Linked DNA regions of Schizosaccharomyces pombe. Changing the gene in region 1 together with any one later gene gives a genetic interaction. Each region holds a gene or a part of one and is shown in the gene's direction. Other genes may lie near its edges.

Evidence for each region.
Region 2: of rec12 (region 1) and fbh1, a mutation in one rescues a mutant of the other (synthetic rescue), as found in Schizosaccharomyces pombe (one study listed by BioGRID).
Region 3: of rec12 (region 1) and dbl2, changing one suppresses a phenotype caused by changing the other (phenotypic suppression), as found in Schizosaccharomyces pombe (one study listed by BioGRID).
Region 4: of rec12 (region 1) and kms1, a mutation in one rescues a mutant of the other (synthetic rescue), as found in Schizosaccharomyces pombe (one study listed by BioGRID).

What each region holds. Positions count from the first base shown.
Region 1 is NC_003424.3:1,771,083-1,774,745, forward strand, and holds rec12 (DNA topoisomerase type II (DSB-forming) Rec12/Spo11), read left to right. Parts: upstream 1-1,842; coding exon 1,843-2,123; exon of another isoform or gene 2,124-2,181; coding exon 2,182-2,290; exon of another isoform or gene 2,291-2,340; coding exon 2,341-2,418; exon of another isoform or gene 2,419-2,482; coding exon 2,483-2,611; exon of another isoform or gene 2,612-2,680; coding exon 2,681-3,121; downstream 3,122-3,663. Other genes in the region: UBA/TPR/DNAJ domain protein Ucp7, read left to right, coding at 3,176-3,663. UniProt on the Schizosaccharomyces pombe protein: Required for formation of the double-strand breaks (DSBs) that initiate meiotic recombination. Required for crossover recombination and chiasmatic segregation of chromosomes during meiosis I.
Region 2 is NC_003423.3:2,731,128-2,736,611, forward strand, and holds fbh1 (DNA helicase I, ubiquitin ligase F-box adaptor Fbh1), read left to right. Parts: upstream 1-2,082; 5' UTR 2,083-2,168; coding exon 2,169-3,978; exon of another isoform or gene 3,979-4,018; coding exon 4,019-4,845; 3' UTR 4,846-4,957; downstream 4,958-5,484. Other genes in the region: SPOM_SPBC18A7.02C (seven transmembrane receptor-like protein), read right to left, coding at 1-834, 886-964, 1,018-1,086; SPOM_SPBC336.16 (uncharacterized protein), read right to left, coding at 1,574-1,789. UniProt on the Schizosaccharomyces pombe protein: Involved in ATP-dependent DNA-unwinding in a 3' to 5' direction, and ATP-ase activities stimulated by the single-stranded DNA-binding protein ssb1.
Region 3 is NC_003421.2:308,332-313,497, forward strand, and holds dbl2 (DNA recombination protein Dbl2), read left to right. Parts: upstream 1-1,982; 5' UTR 1,983-2,207; coding exon 2,208-4,355; 3' UTR 4,356-4,564; downstream 4,565-5,166. Other genes in the region: qns1 (glutamine-dependent NAD(+) synthetase), read right to left, coding at 1-77, 122-150; SPOM_SPCC736.02 (uncharacterized protein), read left to right, coding at 4,852-5,166.
Region 4 is NC_003424.3:3,461,279-3,466,137, forward strand, and holds kms1 (protein Kms1), read left to right. Parts: upstream 1-1,619; 5' UTR 1,620-1,786; coding exon 1,787-1,849; exon of another isoform or gene 1,850-1,980; coding exon 1,981-2,420; exon of another isoform or gene 2,421-2,466; coding exon 2,467-3,787; 3' UTR 3,788-4,030; downstream 4,031-4,859. Other genes in the region: sei1 (seipin), read right to left, coding at 4,031-4,166, 4,264-4,728. UniProt on the Schizosaccharomyces pombe protein: Has a role in karyogamy, recombination and segregation during meiosis. Although it has been shown to associate with the spindle pole body it is unlikely to be involved in its formation or maintenance.

The sequences.
Region 1 (3,663 bases):
ATCATAGAGCCCCTTTTATATGCTTATTGCTCATATCGAAAATGTCTTCGTTTTTTGGGTTTGTTTATGAATTCGTGAATTTTTAATTTGGTCATAGTTTTGACCATTAAGTTTGTTTTCCAAAAATGCTCTTTCCTTATCTACTTCGTTTATGCTTTGGAAAATTTCTTCTAAATAATATCTACGGGACTTCCTAATTCTTAAAATTGCAAAATCCGTCCGTGTTCTAAGTATTTATTTATTTTACTATTGTCTAAGTATATCGGAATGATTCTCAGAGCTTTGCACTTCTTTTTCCCTAAATTTTCTATTAACTTTTATCTTTTTGTTATTGTATTAACTTACAAAAGTAATACCGGTTCATCATGCAAAATTCCATGTTTTAACAGTTGTCATAACCTCTATCTTTTCTGTATAAGAAAGGGTAACTGTAAACCACAGTGCTATTGTTGCCTAATTGTTTCTACGTTTTCTTGAGTATTAAATACTTATTAAGAAGAAGCAAAAAAAAAAAACTTGATGAAATTATTCTCCTTTAGAAACCCTTGCTCATTTTTTATCTAGTTCGTCCTGTTTATCTGCTATGCCACAAGTACAAATTTCGGGAAGCAATATGGAGTGCCTATTTTCATTATTGTTTTCCATTGATGTCATTAGAATATTATCGTTATTTGTACATCAGATTAATTGCTATCTTCTGTTCTCGCAATAAGTTAAAAAAGCTATCACTATTGTCTTGACGAAGTATTGCACCATAATAAATGACTATTAATGAATCAAGCAAACACACTACATATGGCAACTTTTAAGCTTAAAAAATTCGTTAAAGACCCATTTGGATAGGTAGCATTTTCGTACAATTGTATGTTCTCCAATTTTATTTTTTCATTTGCAAAAGCAAACCACTGTCAGTTTCTCTTTAGGGCTGGCACAAGGAAAGCATATGCTAACATATACATCGAGCAGATAGTGAGTTAGACTACTTCTTCATGTTTAGTGTTGCAAATGACTTAGTAATTCCTGATTTGAAAATCTGTAAACTAGAAACAATCTTAAATTGGATTGGAGGATATTTCAAACTGTCTTATCAAAATTAAAATGAAAGTCCTTCTTGTTTATATATATACCTTTTGTATAAAAAGGTCAGTTTCATTCATATTTTTAACATTAATGTTATTATAAATAGGTTTAAATAATCATCAAGTTAACAGTTGGTCGCATGATGTAGTCGGTTATCATGTCGATCTAATAAGTCGAATGTCGCCAGTTCGAACCTGGCTGTGACCATGTTTTTTAATTACGTTTTCTCTCTTGACAAAGGAGTTGGCAAAACGAAATTATAAGTACAATATTTATTGAAACAGTTGATATACATATTTTTATAGAAAATTAAAACTATAGAAATAAATTAAGTAACCGCTTGATCTATGGCTCTTAGTTGTCGTATGTTGCATTTGAACTCGAAAGAGTTCAAATATATTTACTTTTCTTTCAACTTTTCTGTAGACAAGAACATAAGTTGTTTAGGAATTTCAAATTTCGATCCATCTTTACGATTTACCAATTCAGTCCGCAAAGCTCGCGTGAGTCTTCTCTTACACCATTTTATCAGAAGGAAAGTCTTCAGTAAGTATTTTTTAGCAGTTAACGAAAACACATATACTGTTTCGCCTTGATATTACCCATTTATTGAATGTATGTATCATTTCTTCAGAAAACAATCTCGCTTAGATATAGCTTATTTGAATTAAGCTATTGATTTTTTACACTGTAACCATACGCGCTTTGCATAATTATCTAGACAATGCAAAGAATGCTGAACGCGTCCAGAAAGTAAAAAAAATGAATTCGAATGATAAAAAAAAAGTTGTTAGATCATGGATTGAGCAATTTGTTCATGATTTTGTTGAGCAATTAAGTAAGCCTACCAAAGATTCAGTAAATGTTGCTTTGAAAAGACGAAAGCACAATTCTTGGAATGGCAGCTTAGATTCAAAGGCCAATGAAAGACAAAAAGTTAAGGTTTTTTCATTCCCCAGGAATGAAACAACAATTGCTCAACTATTCAGGGTTTTAGATTGTGTTCATGAAGCTGTTATTTCGGATACAGTAATCACTAAGCGGTAATTGCTTTGTACTATACGCCGAAAATTCAGATTTAAGTTCTAATTACATTTGCAGAGATATTTATTACAGAGATGTAGATTTATTCAAGCGACAAACCGTAGTCGATGAGCTGCTTGGAGATATTTCAAACACCATTGGTTGCTCCAGGTCCGACCTTAACGTTGTAAGTCATTTCTTTGGAAATAGATTCATTAACGATTAATTTGATCTTAGGAAGCATCTGCTAAAGGATTGGTATTTGGGTCCATTCATATTGCTCTTGAAAACGGGACAGTAATTACTGCTACTAAAGTAGGTTCAAGTTTTAATAACCGTAAAAATTGTTTTTTCTAACTAAGAATTTTACTAAATACAGCCATTATTAATCTCTCACCATCGAATTTCATCAATCACTTCCACAGCAAAATGGGTCTTGGTCATCGAAAAGGAAGCGGTATTCCAAACGCTAACCGAAGAGGCTTTAGCGGATACAATAATTGTTACAGTAAGTGAGAATGCTTCCTTTTCAATGATATTGATGTTAGAGTGCTAGCTAACTAATTGCTTGTAACAGGCTAAAGGATTTCCAGATTTGATGACGAGAAAATTTTTAGTTAAATTAGCCAAAGCCCTCCCGGATGCTAAATTTTTTGGTATTTTTGATTGGGACCCCCATGGCTTATGCATTTATTCCTGTTTCAAGTACGGTTCTAATGCCTACAGTCATGAACCGCACAGTCAATTACGAAATTTACAGCTTTTAGGCCCTCTGTATGAGGACATTTTTAATAAAAACCAAGAATTCTCTTTAAAATTGAATAAAAGGGATATTAAAATGATTACAACATTATTACAATTTGAAGGCTTCCAAAAGGAGCCCGTTGTTCGTGAACAGCTACAGCGAATGCTGTTTATCCAGAAAAAAGCGGAAATACAAGCAATTCTAGAATTTCCTTCATGGATCAAAGGAAAATTAGCTGATGCCGACAAAAGTGGAAAGCACTCAGTACGTTAAGTTCTTGGATAGTTCAACCTACTTTCACTACACTCCCATAATAAAGCCTCCAACATGGATGACTTGCTAGATTTCAATTTTTACGATAAATCTACACCATCTAATCAAAATAATTACAGTAATAATAATAGTAGAACGCCATCCTACTCCCTTCCCGCCCCAGTAGCCCAGAAAAAGAATGCACAAATTCCATTGAAAGCATCAAAGCCCGAAGACCCTTTTGCTAATTTATTTCAAAAGAAAACGGATAATAAAATTTCCTTAAAAGAACTAGAAAGGCAGAAAGTTGGAACTCCGGACTCCAATTCCACCCCCAAATCTTCAAATTACGATCCCTTTGAAAACCTTGAAATTTTGCATCAATTATCAAATACTCCTAGAGATAAAGATGCAGTTATTCATGATAAGATTGAAGAAAATAAAAGGCCGATTTCACAACCACAAGTATCGGCTTCCGAGAAAGTAACTTTAAAGGATTTGTCTTTAGAGCCGCATCAGCCTGTCAGTTTACCCGCCTTTGAGAATATTGGTTCGGAAACCTC
Region 2 (5,484 bases), on another chromosome or scaffold:
AGATATATAGCGCTGAAATACAAGCGGTGAGGAAGAAAAAGCAAAACCAAAGGCCGAGGTGAATAGATTGAATGGTAATTGCAAAGAAGCGAACTACAAAAAGAGCGAAGAAACAAATTATTAAAGGAATTTTTGCTTCAGTAAATAGTCGATCACGCATGTTAGTTGAATAACGGGTATATCCCCAAGAGAGTATTAATAATAACGCAAGGTCCAAGACTAACTGACACGCAAACAAAATTGACACCAGAGTCTCTCCTAACCATGTGAAGTTCCCCCGATTTCTCAAATTTTCTGTATCCAACACAATAGAAGTGACAGCCTGTTGAGCACACGAAAAGATTAGCAAGAACATAATTGCCTTTTGAACGGTAACAATCGAATGTTTATATTGAAATCGGAAAAACATCCAAAGTGCAAGAATTACACTATAAGCGATTGTGATTCCACCAGATATAGGCATTCTAGGGAATTGAGAAGCGGGAAGCCCACCATACGCATTTTGCCAATTGACAAGAGCTTGATAAGGTAACATTTTTTTCGAATGAGACCAAATGCAATAATAACCTGACTGAGAGATTTCATATATAATGTTTTGAGGGTCAGCATTTGTCGGAATTATATAAGAACGAATGGATTTTGCTGACGTTGAGTTCCACAAATATAGTCCCAGTTGATCGGCTTCACATAGGTGATCCGTGTATACCGCATCGTAATCGCAAATGTAAGTGAATTGATCATCAGAACGGAATGCACCTAACTTGCGGATTTCTTTCCAATTGAATATCAAAACCTCAACTTCATCTTCTTGACCCCATGGTTCAGTCCAATTCACTAACGTCGTAAGTTTTTTAAATAAAAGCGTAAAAAAAGATATGTACATACCATAAATTGCTGGATTTAAAGACCCTCCAGATTCCGATTTCGAGTAAATGCCATTGCACAATTCATAATGCTTGAAATTCTAGCAAGAAGCCGCAGTTAGCAAATGATACGCAAGAAATCTGATTGTTTTACCAGTAATGTTTTTTCTGAATAAACTATGGAAAAGAATATACTCCATAGAAGAGATATCAGTAATTTCATGGTTTATGATGAGAGCATTAGATTTTTTATACTTCGAAGGACTGGGAACAAAAATTAAATACCAATGTTATGTAAATCAATGTACAAAATATTTTTTCCCAAAACCGATTCACGGATTATCTGCCAAAGTTGAGATTCAGAAGTTGGTGGAGGTTATTGACTACTTAATAAATAGTAATTTATTTATAGTTAGGCGATTAGCAAGGTTCAAAAAATAGCTGAGAAAGGTGTTGATTCGAGCCTGGACATCAACATTTTAATTAATTTTTTCTTTCTATAAACAATTTTGCTTGACTTGCTGAATTTCGCTAAGGATCAACATCATTGACTACTGGTGAATTCTTTCTTTGTTATCGGCCCAGAAATTACCAACCGTAAAATGTATTTTCCGCAATTAAAGAAAATTGTGAGGATTTATCCTTCTATTCGGTTTCATTTAATAAATTGAGAGCATTGATGAATAAATAGACTAGGTGTAGAAAAAAATTTAGTTGACGAAGCCGAATTTAATACCGCATGTTGTCTGGTCTAAACTTCTATTTTTGGTGAAACCGGTTTCCATTAAAATATCAACAAAAGTGATATTGCTAAACGTGGCATTTATAGTGTCTAAAGAAAGTATAATAAAAACCAACCAAGAGGTCGTTGATGAGAAATAATTATATAAATAATTAGTTAAATCATGAGAATAAGAATGATACATCAATTAATAAAAAATTACAATTTACAAAATAAAGTAGAGGATTTTTTCAACACAAAAAGTAATAGAGTCTTTTTGAGTTAATTATTTATTCAATGAAACTTACTTTTACATAAGAAATTATGGGAATTCTTTCAATTTGCAGATGGTTAAAGTATTTCTGTAACGACAGCATGCTTCGGAGAGAAATAATTATATAGGTTAAGGAATGTATTTTATTTTAAAAGATTGGATTTATTTTAATGTTCGTTGCTCATTCATAAACTAGTTCTGGTATTTTTACTACTCTTAAATTTGCACATACCCAACCAACAAGCAATTCTTCTAATGCAATTTGTTCTTTCTTTTCAGTCAAGCACCCAGTCAGCAAATTCTTAGTTATATGAGTGCTCAACATTTACATAGCTGCAAATTTTATAGACTGCCACTTGAAATTATCCCATTGATCTGCAGGTTTCTTTCTGTTCAGGATATCCAAAGTTTCATACGTGTATTCCCATCCTTTCAAACTATTTTAGACTCTTCTAATGACCTTTTTTGGAAAAAGAAAAATTATGAGTTACGAATTCGTCGAAATCGATTGCTTCGTGGTTCTTATGCTGCTGGTGTTTCGAGCTCAGCGATGAATGGATTTGTCAATGGCACCCAAATTTCATCCACACCAGCTGAGAGAGAATACTATAGTAAATCAGATGAAATAAAAAATATTTGTGGGCTTCCCCCGGGTCCTATGAAAGTGGAACAAATTGGACATGCTATTGACCATCTTGTCAGTGAGACTCATACAGTTGATCATCTTGGAAGTTCTATTAAAGCATCTTTTTTTCACATAGATGATGTTCCTTTAGAATGGATAAGCTCAATATGCATGCAGGTTCAAAGCTTTTTCTCCCCTGCAGCTCGAGAAGCTATATCTTCTCTAAAAAGTAGGACTACTACTAGCAATCTGCTTTTAAGTTTGTTCGTAGGGATACTATTTGAAGATGATTTGTGGTATTTTTTCAATACGCTTTATATGCTATCTTCAACGTCCGCTATAGAATTTGCTTATTTTCTGGACTCTATCTTTACTGTAGTCCGCACAGATTATGAACATTATCGTGACCCACTTTCACAAACACTAATTACTTCGTGTACTAGGATTCACAACATTGTAGCTGTCATTGAATCCCCTTATGATGAACCTAACACTAAGGGCCTTACCTCTGAACAAAAAATGATTGTTGAATGTCAATTAAACCCAGGAGAGGTTCTAAAAGTTAAAGCATTCGCTGGTACTGGCAAAACCAAAGCATTATTGGAATTTGCCAAGTCTCGTCCAAAAGATAAAATTTTATATGTTGCTTTTAACAAGGCCGCAAAAGAAGACGCAGAATTACGATTTCCATTTAATGTCAAATGCTCCACCATGCATGGTCTTGCTTATGGTGCTATACTTGCACAGGCCGATTTGCCGCAAGCTAAACTTGAGCGGCAATTATCAAATTCTACTATAGCTTCACTTTTGTCTTTGCAAGTTGCATTTCCAAAGGCAAATCGGAAAAATAATCCGGGTACACCATCCGCTAGCTTGGTAGCTTCTCATATCATGTTTACATTAAATAGGTTCATGCACTCCACTGACTGGCAGCTTGGTTTTCGTCATATAAGTAAAAGAAGCCTGGAAGTTACAAAACTCTCTAAAGAGAAGCTTTTGGCTTATACAAAAAAATTGTGGTCTCTTATTGTAAACTTTGAATATACCCATGCTCCTCTCATACCTGATGCATATATGAAATTATTACATTTGTATGAATTCCCTAATATTTTTTCAAAATATGACTACATTCTTTTTGACGAGGCTCAAGATTTTACTCCGTGTATGGTCGACCTTATTTATCGTCAGAAACACGCCCGAATTGTCATCGTTGGGGATGCACACCAATGCATTTATGGTTTTCGTGGTGCAAATGCATGTGCTTTCAATGAAAATTTGTACCCTTCCACAAAGCAACTGTGCCTTACTAAGAGTTTCCGGTTTGGAAACTCTGTTGCAAAATATGCAAATTTTTTGCTTTCATTAAAGGGAGAGAACGTTAAGCTTAAAGGGGTACAAAATGACCATGCGTATTGGTCTTCAGCAAGTAATCCCAACAATGTTAGTGGAGCGTTTCGATTTTTTCCTCATACGATTATTTTTCGCACTAATAAAGGTTTGCAATGGTTTATATTGATAAAAGCTAACGTATACAGAATTAATCCTACAATCGATTCGGCTATCAGTGTCATTACCTAAGGAGATACCCATTGCTATTCTTGGCTCAATGAGGAAAAAAGCATTCCAACTTTTGCGAAGTGGTTCAGAACTAGCGCATGGGCAGCGCCCTTCGCACCCAAAGTTAAAAGACTTTTCCTCTTGGGGAGAATTTGAAGTGCACGTAAAAAACTCAGCCGAAGAAGATGCCGAATTGGCTTTAGTATATGATATGGCCGACGAATTATTTAGTGAAAGCTTTCTGAGCCGATTGGACAATTGTGAAAAAAGATTGATGGACTCTAAAGACGATGGTGACAACGGTATTATTTTGGCAACAGCACATCAATCTAAGGGTCTTGAATGGGATAATGTTCAATTGGGTAATGATTTTCGACCAAAATTTGATAGTGTTTCTTTTTCACGAATTGGATCTTCGAGGTACTTGCAAGAGGAAATCAATATCCTTTATGTTGCTCTTACGCGAGCTAAAAAACGCCTTATCCTTAATGACACTATAACCAAATTATACGCATTAGAGTGCGGACTTGTTCGTTTTGCTGGTGGCATTTTAACGGAAGATCAGCTGCAACCTGGAAAAGTTGCTCTTTTTGTCGACTGGCAGATTGACAAGTTTAGCTTTTTTTATGAAACCCCTGCTGAAGGATACAATCTTTTGGTCGAAGCAAATGAGAAATCAGTATGGGATATATTTTTTGGAGTTCTTTCAGGCGCTTGGCAGAACTATATTGCGAATACATCTGAACGGCTTAAAAGATCGATGCTATTTATTGAAAATCAATTGTTTGCTGTACATGATCAGTAGAAACTATTTGATTTGTTTCTTTTAAAATCTATTTTAGCCATATTGATTGATGTACTATTGCTATTACAACCTTTAATATATAATCATTTAATAATATGTATATTCGTGTGGACATTTTCATTATAGAGCTATGTTACTATTTCGCTTATAAACGTAAACTCATATCAATCTGTCGCTGCACTTTCCATGTTAGAGTTAAAAGTAGTTGTAGTATTACACACAGAAAGCCATGGAAATAACCCTTCGTGTAAATAAACAGAAGATCAAGTTATATTTGTGCTTTAAAAGATTCCTATTAAGTGAGTCGATGACCCAATTAAGTGTTTATACCTAAAACATACATAAAGATGATTTCAAAAACTAGCAAGCAAGAAATTACTTCCCATCATCTGAATTCCCACGCAACGCTAAATAAACAAAAAACAAACTTTTGATACTCTCGTTAAGTGGCTTTGCTAACAATATAACGCAGTTATAAACAGTTTGTATTAGAATTAAGGTACCGAAGGTCGTTTGCCTTTATTAGCGTGTCAGCATACTACACTACGTTGCGTGTCACTATATGTCATATGTTGGAATACTAGTTAAGATCCGTTTGTTGATAATCACGGGTGACTACCCGTCTATATGAATAGATTC
Region 3 (5,166 bases), on another chromosome or scaffold:
GTCTTTTCGCCTCTTTGATGGAATCAATGATGCGTAGACGGTTTCCCTCAAAGTCCATTGCCCACTGGTTCAGCTGACTACAGAAGTTAGATCATTGAGACGAAAAATGATTATAGCATACCAAGATGCGATGGTTACATATCGTTCCATAATGAACTGAATGCTTAACTTGAGGTTTATTCCCAAACAAGTAATTTAACTTATAATGTTTTTTTCGTACTATAAAAGTTCCAACTATGAGTGAAGATCGAAGTTTCTATTCAAATGTCTATTCACGGTTATGGCAGTAAGTAAGAGCAGGAGGTAGTTGTCATAGTAGAGTCAAGTGTAAATAAAGGGTTCGCATCATATAGCAAAAATGCCAGTTTCCCTAAGTAAGAAAAAGAAAATTTAAATAATTTTAAAGACCCTCTCTGATATTAGTAAAAAGAACCTTAATACTTCTTATGCAAATTTTGGCGACTCTTCTAACTACATGTGTATTAATTGTACATTACTACATAGCTTAAAAATTGATTTATAAAATCAGAATAATTGTAATTTTTATTTGATATTGCAATACAAATTCTAGTTTTAGCGATATATCTTCTCAAGTGAAGTCATTTCTGGGACTTCCTTTAATAAAAAAATTTGCCTATCTTTTTCAGATATACGAGCTAATAAATGAAATTTTTTGATTTAAAGTCTGTCTGGTTTTATTAGTGTTACTCGCTTATAATTACAGGTTTTTTGATGATTATAGAGCAAGCTGATATCTGGAATACGCACAACAGTAATTACATTTTTTTAATAGTACAAAATTGTTTTAATTTTATCCTTGAAAATATTTCATGATTTAATTAATATACTTAGTTCTTGGAGCATATAATCGAAATTACTTAGCTTAAAGAAGAAGAAGCAAAGCGACAGATGCCATAATGGTTGATACTCATTTTTTAACTCCCCTTCAGTTACTTCTTGTTGCAAATTATAGACAGATGATTCTTCAGCTGCTCAATAAATTTAATAGTTTTAGTGATTGCAAAGATCAGTCTTCTTTTTTGAAAGGGTATTAATTAGAATTGACAAAAGATTTCAGGTTTATTATTACAATGAAACAACTTTCTTCATCTTCTTGGGCTTTTTTCTCCTAAATTTCGTCCAAGTACTAAATTTTAGGTAAATTTCTATCAGTGCGCTTAAACCAACTTTAATAACTTAATTTGTACCTATCTTCGACATGGTGATGAGAATTGCAAGTTCAAGATTTCGAGCAGAATTACCCTCTATAGGCCTTTTATGTTGCTAAAATTATAACATAAGTACTTTTGCACCTAATCGTATCATCAATCATCTTTGATGAATTTTCTTGCCTGCAAACCTCAAAAGCGATAGAAGAACAAAAGAATCAGTTTTATCTCCAACTGCTATGTTTAGATTCTCTATTATAATGCGACGATAGATACAAATTTACAAGATAAATAATTTTACATTACGAATATTTGAAGCAATCTGCCTCTGTAAGCTCAACTGTAAACTTCATGGTTTAAGGTGAAAAAAGACATCTTTTTTTATATATCATTATGTATACACACAGTCTGTCCCTATGAAACTATCAATCGGGATTATTAACCATTGTTTCCGTTTCTCGATACAGGATATTGAAAATTATCTAACAGTTTTGCTTCCTTGGGCACTAAGAGACCTTTTACTAAAGAAAAACCCATCAAATATTAGACCTTGTAGATTAGTAAAATTAATAAAAATAAGCATCTCTCTTGAAACCATCTCAAGAGATAATCTGCTTCTGCTTGCGTATTATAAAGTTACCTTCAATCATTTCGGCGTGTAAACAAGTACCTCATATCAATAACCAAAAGCTCAACTCGTTTGTAGTTCATAAAGAAAAAGAAAAGAAAAGGAAACCTTGTTTAAGGATTCTACAAAGATGTAATTTTCTGGCTTGAGATCATTTACTTTCCTAGATTTCAACTTTCTGCTGTATACCAACCATTTCCTAACTACCATCCAACAAAAGCACGTAATTCCCATTCCTAAAGCGAGAGCAATTAATGCTCAAATGAGGTTTATACATGAAATAGATATTCTCACTCTTATTCTTTAATTAATTATTAAATAGGGTGGTTTGTGAGTTTTTTTCAACAATATTAAGCTTTTCGTAAGCCACCTTTCGGAACTGCCTTTACAGGCTTTAAAACTTATATTCTATGGATACAAGTTCCAATGTTTTTCATTATCAAGTATTGTGGACGTCTGATAAAGCAAAAAAAGTAAAAGTTTGGAAAGATGGGACAATGCGCTTCCACAGCTTCAATAATCGTGGAATTCTCTACGATTCTGATAACCGAGTCGTAGATGATTTTTTCCTTAACAACAAGAGAATTGTTCTGGATTCTGAAATTGAATTTAATAGAACTATTGTTTACGTTGAGAATTTACAAACAACTACTGAAGCGAATATTCCACCTATACCGAGGAAATCAAAATTGAGTGAGACAGGGAAGAGGCCAGCTTATTTATTAAAACCATTCCAGCCTCCATTTCACTCCGCTAACTCAGATGTATCTAACAATTCAAATGGTGCTTTATCGTCAAATATGTTAAAAACACACGCTCATCATACAAATTCAACAAAATCCACGATCTTCCGGAACGCAAATTTGCAATCTTATGGAGTAGATGACTCAGATATTGGTAGTTTGAGATGTTCAAGTAAGCATCAACTGTCAGTAACACCGGAAATACAACCCAAAGCTAAGTTTAGACCAAACTCATATCTAGCTTCTTCTGTTGAGGAATCTAATCGAGCTAACAATACCTCTCCCTATCCCCCATCTAACTCATCCGTAACTGCGCTACCGAAACCTTCGAAAATTGCATATATCCCTGTTTTGTCAAAACCCAAGTCTTTTAATGGCACCTTGGTTGAAGATCCTGTAGAAGAATTTGGAGAAGACGACATAGCTTCTGACTTTTTTTCTTCCCCTTCTGCCGATCTCGAGGCAGATGATTTTACCACTCTAAATAATTCAAATGCTGGTCATTTGTTACAAAACCTAAGTAATGATAACGTAAGTGTCTCCGTGAAGGCATTAGAAAATGGAAATGAAGAAGTTTCTAATAATCATGCTCGATCTCCTCATTCTTCCCGCGCTTGTAATACCATACCTTCCAACAAAAACGATGGGCTAAATGATGATCATCAAAGACAAGATTCTTCTGTTGCAGAACCCAGTCCTACTTCTAAACGTCTCCGTTTGACTCGCCTTCCGTTACCTCTGCTTCGGAAACCCACGGGGAAACGACAAAACTTTATTAATATCACAGTTACCGACCCCTCAAAAAACTTGTACGAAAGAAGTGTCAAAACTGCTGCCGAGCTGGCATCGCTTCAAAATGTAACAGAAACAACTGATAATGAAATACCAAACTCTCCTGATTTTCTAGATGCAGCATCAGAAGAGGATGAACACATTCCTTCGCTAGATTCGTCATCTCTTTTAACACCTTTGGCTTTGCCCAACAAAAAAGCCTTTCAACCCGTGAAGTTTCGTGTACCGTCTTTTTCATCTCCTTTAGTTAAACCAGCATCTTCGTCCTCGTTTGGTAGGAGTCACTCTCACTTAGGCACGTCCCTTCGCTCAAACGAACTTAATGGATCTAGTGCTTCTTCTTCAATCTTTCTACAATCCAACAATGCAGTCAATCCTAACGTTTCACCTTCTACTGTGCTTGAACATGCCAAACATCCTTCCTTGGCCAAACATTCAGGTGTATCGCTGAGAACAGGCTTGTTGATATATCCTAAATATGCAAATGGTTCGAAAAGAAAAGACGGTTTTGGAGCTACTTCTATAATATCTTCAGGGGAACATTCGTCGTTGCCTAAAAACTCGAAATCCAGAAATGTGTCGGTATTTTCTAGCCCTTTTAATGTCCCTTCGTTTACTGTTTCTTCTTCGGACCAAGTCCAAAAGAAAAAAGGAAATGTTCCTAATGCTATTGAAACGGACTCTTCTCCTTCGGATACCATTTCATCCTCGCCTACTGTTCGAGCTGTAAATCTCTCACCCAGCAAAAACCAAAAGCCTCCGAAAATACTTACCAAAATTCCGGATATTTTTTCTAAAGCGGGAAAGAAATCTCCTATTTTACCAACTTTTCAAGAGTCTTGTTCGTTACCTATTGAGCCTTTTTCGTCAAACATTACGGATTTGCCATTTGTAAATACAGTAACACTTGCTTCAACGAGTAGCAAGATCAAAAGGGCAAAGTTAAAAATGCTAAAATTTAAGCATGCCATGACTACACAAGGACGCGATCTCGATTCGGACGAAGATGGTGACTTTATTTGAAATTAATTTTTCTTTCGTACGTTGAAACTTCTCTCTCAAGCCGACTTTGTTACATATAATTTTTAATTCAAAAAACAGTACTGAATTTTGATTTCTGGTTTCCTTCATGTATTATTATCAACATTTATTTTTCCATAGTTCATTTAGGTTTTAGCTATACTTATTTAGCTCTTTTACATATAATTAATTTTTTTTTTTTAAACATTAGATTTCAGCTTGTTTTTGGTGTTGTTAGTACAATTCTAGGTTTTGATTTTCATTTTTTAGTAGCACATACATTGCTTTTTCAAAACCTTGAGTTTCTTCTTTGAACCTTTGAGCAAATAAGTATCAGATTTATTCTTTTCTTTTAAAAAACCAACTATTTGGGTTATTATGAAAATGTTGTAAATATTTTAAGTTAAATTATCTTTTGTAGTCATTTATTTTCTATACATGTTTAAATTTTTCAGCACTAAATAGTGTCTGTTGGTGAGCTCCAAAAATCTTGTTAAAGATGGGTAAAAAGCGAAAACAGACCATAAAAAATGACTATAATGAAAAAATTACGAAAAGAAAGGTCAAAAATAATTTGACTGATGGAAAAGCTAGAGCGTTAACGGTTTTTGAGTCTTTACCTTTAGAAGTTTTAAGATTAATATTTTTGTTATCCAATAATTCGAATTTGGCAGTGACTTCTCGTAGTTTGAGACACCGATTATCTTTAAGGAATAATACGCCTATCTTCATGCCTATTGATTTTACTCTTTCAATGGTACCCAAAAGCATCATTCTCTCTATTCAACGTGGATTGCTACGCAGGTATTTTACA
Region 4 (4,859 bases), 1.7 Mb from region 1:
TAAGCAAAAAGACAAAAAAAAGCAAAGATAAAAAAAAGCCTTACCATTTCTTTGCTTGAAAATCTGTTCCAATGTGCTAGGAACACCTAATTGATAACAGGCAACCAAGGCAAGCAAAACGAAAAACTGAATTTGCCGTAAGGGTTGATTGCTTGATGATTCAATCAAGGTAAAGAACTCTTTCATTACATCTTGAGGAACATGAAATATATCAGAATAACTTTCTTCTTCTGGAAATAAGAGAACATTGTTTGCTTGAAACACGTCCCAATAATTTCGATATTGCAAAGGAATGGATGAATTACCTATAGACAAAAAAAAGAAAAAGAAAAAGGTTAGCATCATTACAGTAAGTAAGTAAAAAAGCAAGAAAGATGAAAAAAAAAAAAATCAAGCTAAAGAAACAAATCAATGATAGAATGCATCGATCCGTAAAATTAACTATTAATTGAGAAGGAAAAAACAGAAGAACAAAACTTTTACTAACCAATTGCTGTTTTATAATTTAAAGGCTTCACTGGTGAACCCCAATTACTGCTAGATGCCCATGGATCAGGCTCTAAAAATACATTATCGCCCATAAATGGAAACCCCGATGTTCTCTATCTTTTCGATGATCACTTCGTACAAAAGAGAAAGAAAACAAAGAAGATTTAATAAAATTTGAAAGCTAAGAGAGGTCCAATTGAAAATGTACAAATAATGCTGCTAGCAAAGAATTCTAAGCTGACAAACGAATTTTTCAAATCTTCACGAAAGTAAATGAATTTTCTTGTCTCTTGCACCAGTTAAAAATAAAATGATACGAGAAATAACTAAACTAGCGTACAGAGGTTTCAAAATATGTAAATGGCAGAAACCAGGTTTTACACGCTCAAACACATATACATATGGACAGTGTTAATTTCGCCAAAAAACCTTTGACGTCACATCGCTCGCTTCTCATAAAGTAACATGCTAACCAACTGTTTTGACTGAGTAGTAGCTATATAGAAAATGTAAATAGAAGACGTTTTCGAAAGAGTTGGCTAAATTGAAAGAAAAAGAAGTAATTTCTGTATTTATTGCACATTCTTGGATGAAAAAATCTGACCTTTTCTATGCATTTCTTTTTTTACGATCAAAACCTTGTATTTTTTAAAAAGTACAATATATACGACGTTGATTGACTAAAACGATTCAAGGATCAAAATATAAGTTAAGTAATCAACCAATCTTATTTGGAGTCTATGAAAGATTCTTGGGCGATCGTTGTTTGACCCGCAATTATAAATGCTGGCGTTCTAAATTACTGCAAATTCGCTTGAAGTTCTCAGAGGAATCGATCGATCTATAAAACAAATACGAATAGTTTCTACTTCACTAAAAATAATTTTTTTTTTTTTTTTTTTTAATTTGCGATTTCATTTGAATTATCACTTAAGTATGCACAGTACGACCAAGTTGTGGCCTTACTTTTCTAGCTGCTCTTAAATCAAGCATAAACATGATTTCTTCTAACATCTTTTTATCTATTTTCAAGTTTTATTTTAATCCGTCTTTTTCTGTGTACTTCTTTTTGGTCTCTCAAACCACTTGCTCAACAGCCCTACTGCCAAACCCTTGGATAGACCTTGCACGAAACCCAACTCACAACACTTAAGAAATGCGGTGAATTCGTGAACTGTTATGAAATGCACGCAGCTTTATGATAAATTCTAACAAAAAAATTCAAAACTGAATCCCATTCCCACTAGAATTGTGGTTCGTTTCCTGTATAATTATAATTGCCAGTTCCCTTTCCAAAATGCTAAATGAACGCGATTTTGACTTGATTTTCGATTCATATGACTTTAAACATGAAGGAAAAGTATGAAAAAAATTGATTGCTTATGCAGGTAGATCTTGTTTATTGAGTCAGAGACAAACTCTCAAGACTCTGGTTTTTCTCGCTTTACCCAATTACCAATAGGATAAACTATTAACAAAAAATTTTCTTAGGTTCATCTTTCCAACTTTTTGCCAATCATCAATGACCTACAACTCTTACATCCCGCTTCTGCACCACCTCTTTTGAGCGAATTCCAAAAACAATGTACACTCGAATTCGTACGGCAAAATGCAGATCTCTCTATTACAAAGGATAATTTTCGAGACGTATATAAAAAACTTACTGAAAACGAAGATGACTCTTTTGCGAATCAAGCTGAAAAGCCTTCGATGGAGCAACAGAATTCCAAAAATTCTATCAAAGAGGATGCAAATGAACACTCTGTCAATTCTGCACATTCAAAATCATCTTCTAATGCCTCTCCTGAATCCTTAAACCCTTCTCAAATGATGTCTAAGAGACTGTCCTTGCCGCCGATGTCTCAATTTACCGACAGTGATTTTGTCAATATTCTTCGAACTCCATTTGCCCAATCTACACCACTAAATAGGTAAGAATTTTTTTTTTAGAAAAGTCATTAAAATTCTAACAAGAAGAAATACGTCGTCCAGAAATACTGAGATGCCACTTGTTAGGAAGGATAAACCTGATTTTTCCAACGGGCACCATGATCTAATCAAGCAAATCACAGAACTCCAGGATATGTTAGATAAAGCTCGAGATCAAGCTAGAAAGAAATCTCGTACTGTAGATATTTTAGAAGGAAAAGTGAATGAACTTACCCACCAACTAAATATGGCAGATTCCAAATATAATGAATCTAAGGTAGCCAATAATTCGCAAAATAACCAAATTAAGACTCTTAAGGCTCAAAATCTAAACATTCACAAAAACTTTCAGAAAATTCAGTCAGAACTCATACAGACAAACTCTGGCCTCTACTCCACAAAAAAAGAGCTTTCAGCCTTGCAAGTTCGGTATGCCACTCTCTTGCGTAAGTTTACAGATCAGACTAAGAAAATTGAGGAATTAAGCTTGGCTGCATCTCGGTCAAGTGAAAATGAGAATACTATTCGTCGGCTTGCTTTAGAGAACCATGAATTAAAAAATTCTAATAATCAGCTAAACAACCACATAGATGATCTTACTAGAGAAAAACATTTAATTGCTTTGTCTAATAACCCAAAAGGAGATGAATTTTTATCACCCTCTAACCTTGACGAAATGGTTTACTCCAAAGAGGTTGGCCTTTCTTTCACTCAACCATCAGTTTGCATTTCTATTCCTGCGGTTGGAATGCGGGAAAGTGAAGAATTAAGAGAATTGGAATTTAAATGTAAACAACAAAAGAAAACGATAGAAGAATGCAAACACATAAGTCAATCATTGCAAAGCTCTCTTACTGCTGAAAGTTCGCGAAACAAAGAATTGGTTGCTGGATTTTTGATGCTTTCAGAGGAAATTGGTATCCAAAAATGGATTATTCAAAGCCTTTCCAAAATGTCTCCAACCCTAAACGACTTTTGTCGTCGGTACGATTCCTCTATGCCAACATATGAAGAATCAAGCCACGAATGCACAGTTCTTTCGAGCTTTAGTGACGATGAAACAGGACTCATGGCAACTAATACAACAATGAATAACTCCTCTAAAGATTTTATGGCGTCTCAAGATACTGTTAATGCAGACAACCCCCATTTTCTAGCAACGAAAGGACAACCTTTGCTTCTTTTATCGGTTATGAAATCCAACATTTTGCGACTTTTTTACGTCCTTTTTCTTTTTGCCTGTTTTTACGGACTTGATTACATATTGTGCGCCGAGCTATTGCAAGCTTTTTTGCGTGTTGTATTTACATTTTGCGAACATATAATTATACTCCTTTATGGACGGTATGAACTGGTACAGCCTTCTTGATAATTAGGCGACTAATAAATAATGACGAAAATGAAGATGCTAGCGAAAGATTTTTTTTTTCTAAAAAAAAAATCAGTGCTGATTTAAATTGCTTTACCCTTTTTCAACTTTTTGTACATAAAGGTGCAGCTGAATAATGGGTCTAACGGATAAAGCAATAATGGAACTTTCTAATTTAATAATAATGTATTTTTATGGTTGTGACGATTATGATTTTAGATGCAAGTGAAGATGTGAGAAGATTCAACGTCTTGTTGCTTTTGTTTCAGATGTGGAAGAGACAATAAGATAGGTAATTATCGTTGAGGTTATCCCCGTAAACCAAAATAAAGATGTGAAAACGAGAAATGCGGAAACCTTATGCGTATACATGAACCAGCTAGTAAGGACAAGTTAGTTTGTGAAAAAGTATAACAGGTAAAGAAATTGAGTAAAGTAAAAAAAATGAAGAAGGTAAATCAAAAAGTAAAACTTACCGCATGCCGTGCAATTTTGATGCAAAAGCTAGAGTCGCTTCGTAAAATTCAATATCTTTAGAATAAATTTTGACAATAGCTTGAGCTGGAGTATTTTTGACAGAAAATCTAACGGAAAGTGTTGTAATTGAATTAAAACTTTTAGCAAATGTTTCAGATTCGAACAAACGGACATTGACAATATCTGTTTCTTCCAAAATCCCCATGAAGTAAAGAGGTGAACATACAATTAGCTTAAGGTATTCGTGAATAGGAGACCTATGAGGAAGCAAGACTGTTCGTTTAACCTGCTTCAGAGATCTTTGATTTCTATCTTGAAAATCGACAGAAACCATAAAATTGCCCATAGCACTATTTCGAGGAGAATGCGGCATTTTGATTTGAAGCAAAGATGTGCCAGGTAACCTAGGATCAATTGAGAAATGGTCCAATCTGACCTCTGCAGTTGGAAAGTTGAGACCCGTTCTATTAAAGTATGTCAGCATGGATTCTAATTGCTTAACAAATGCACGAAACAGAAAGAGACATAGAGAAATCAGAACGCAGCTTAAAAGTTCCACCGCTACGATTCATTTCTACATGCGCTCTTCAAACCT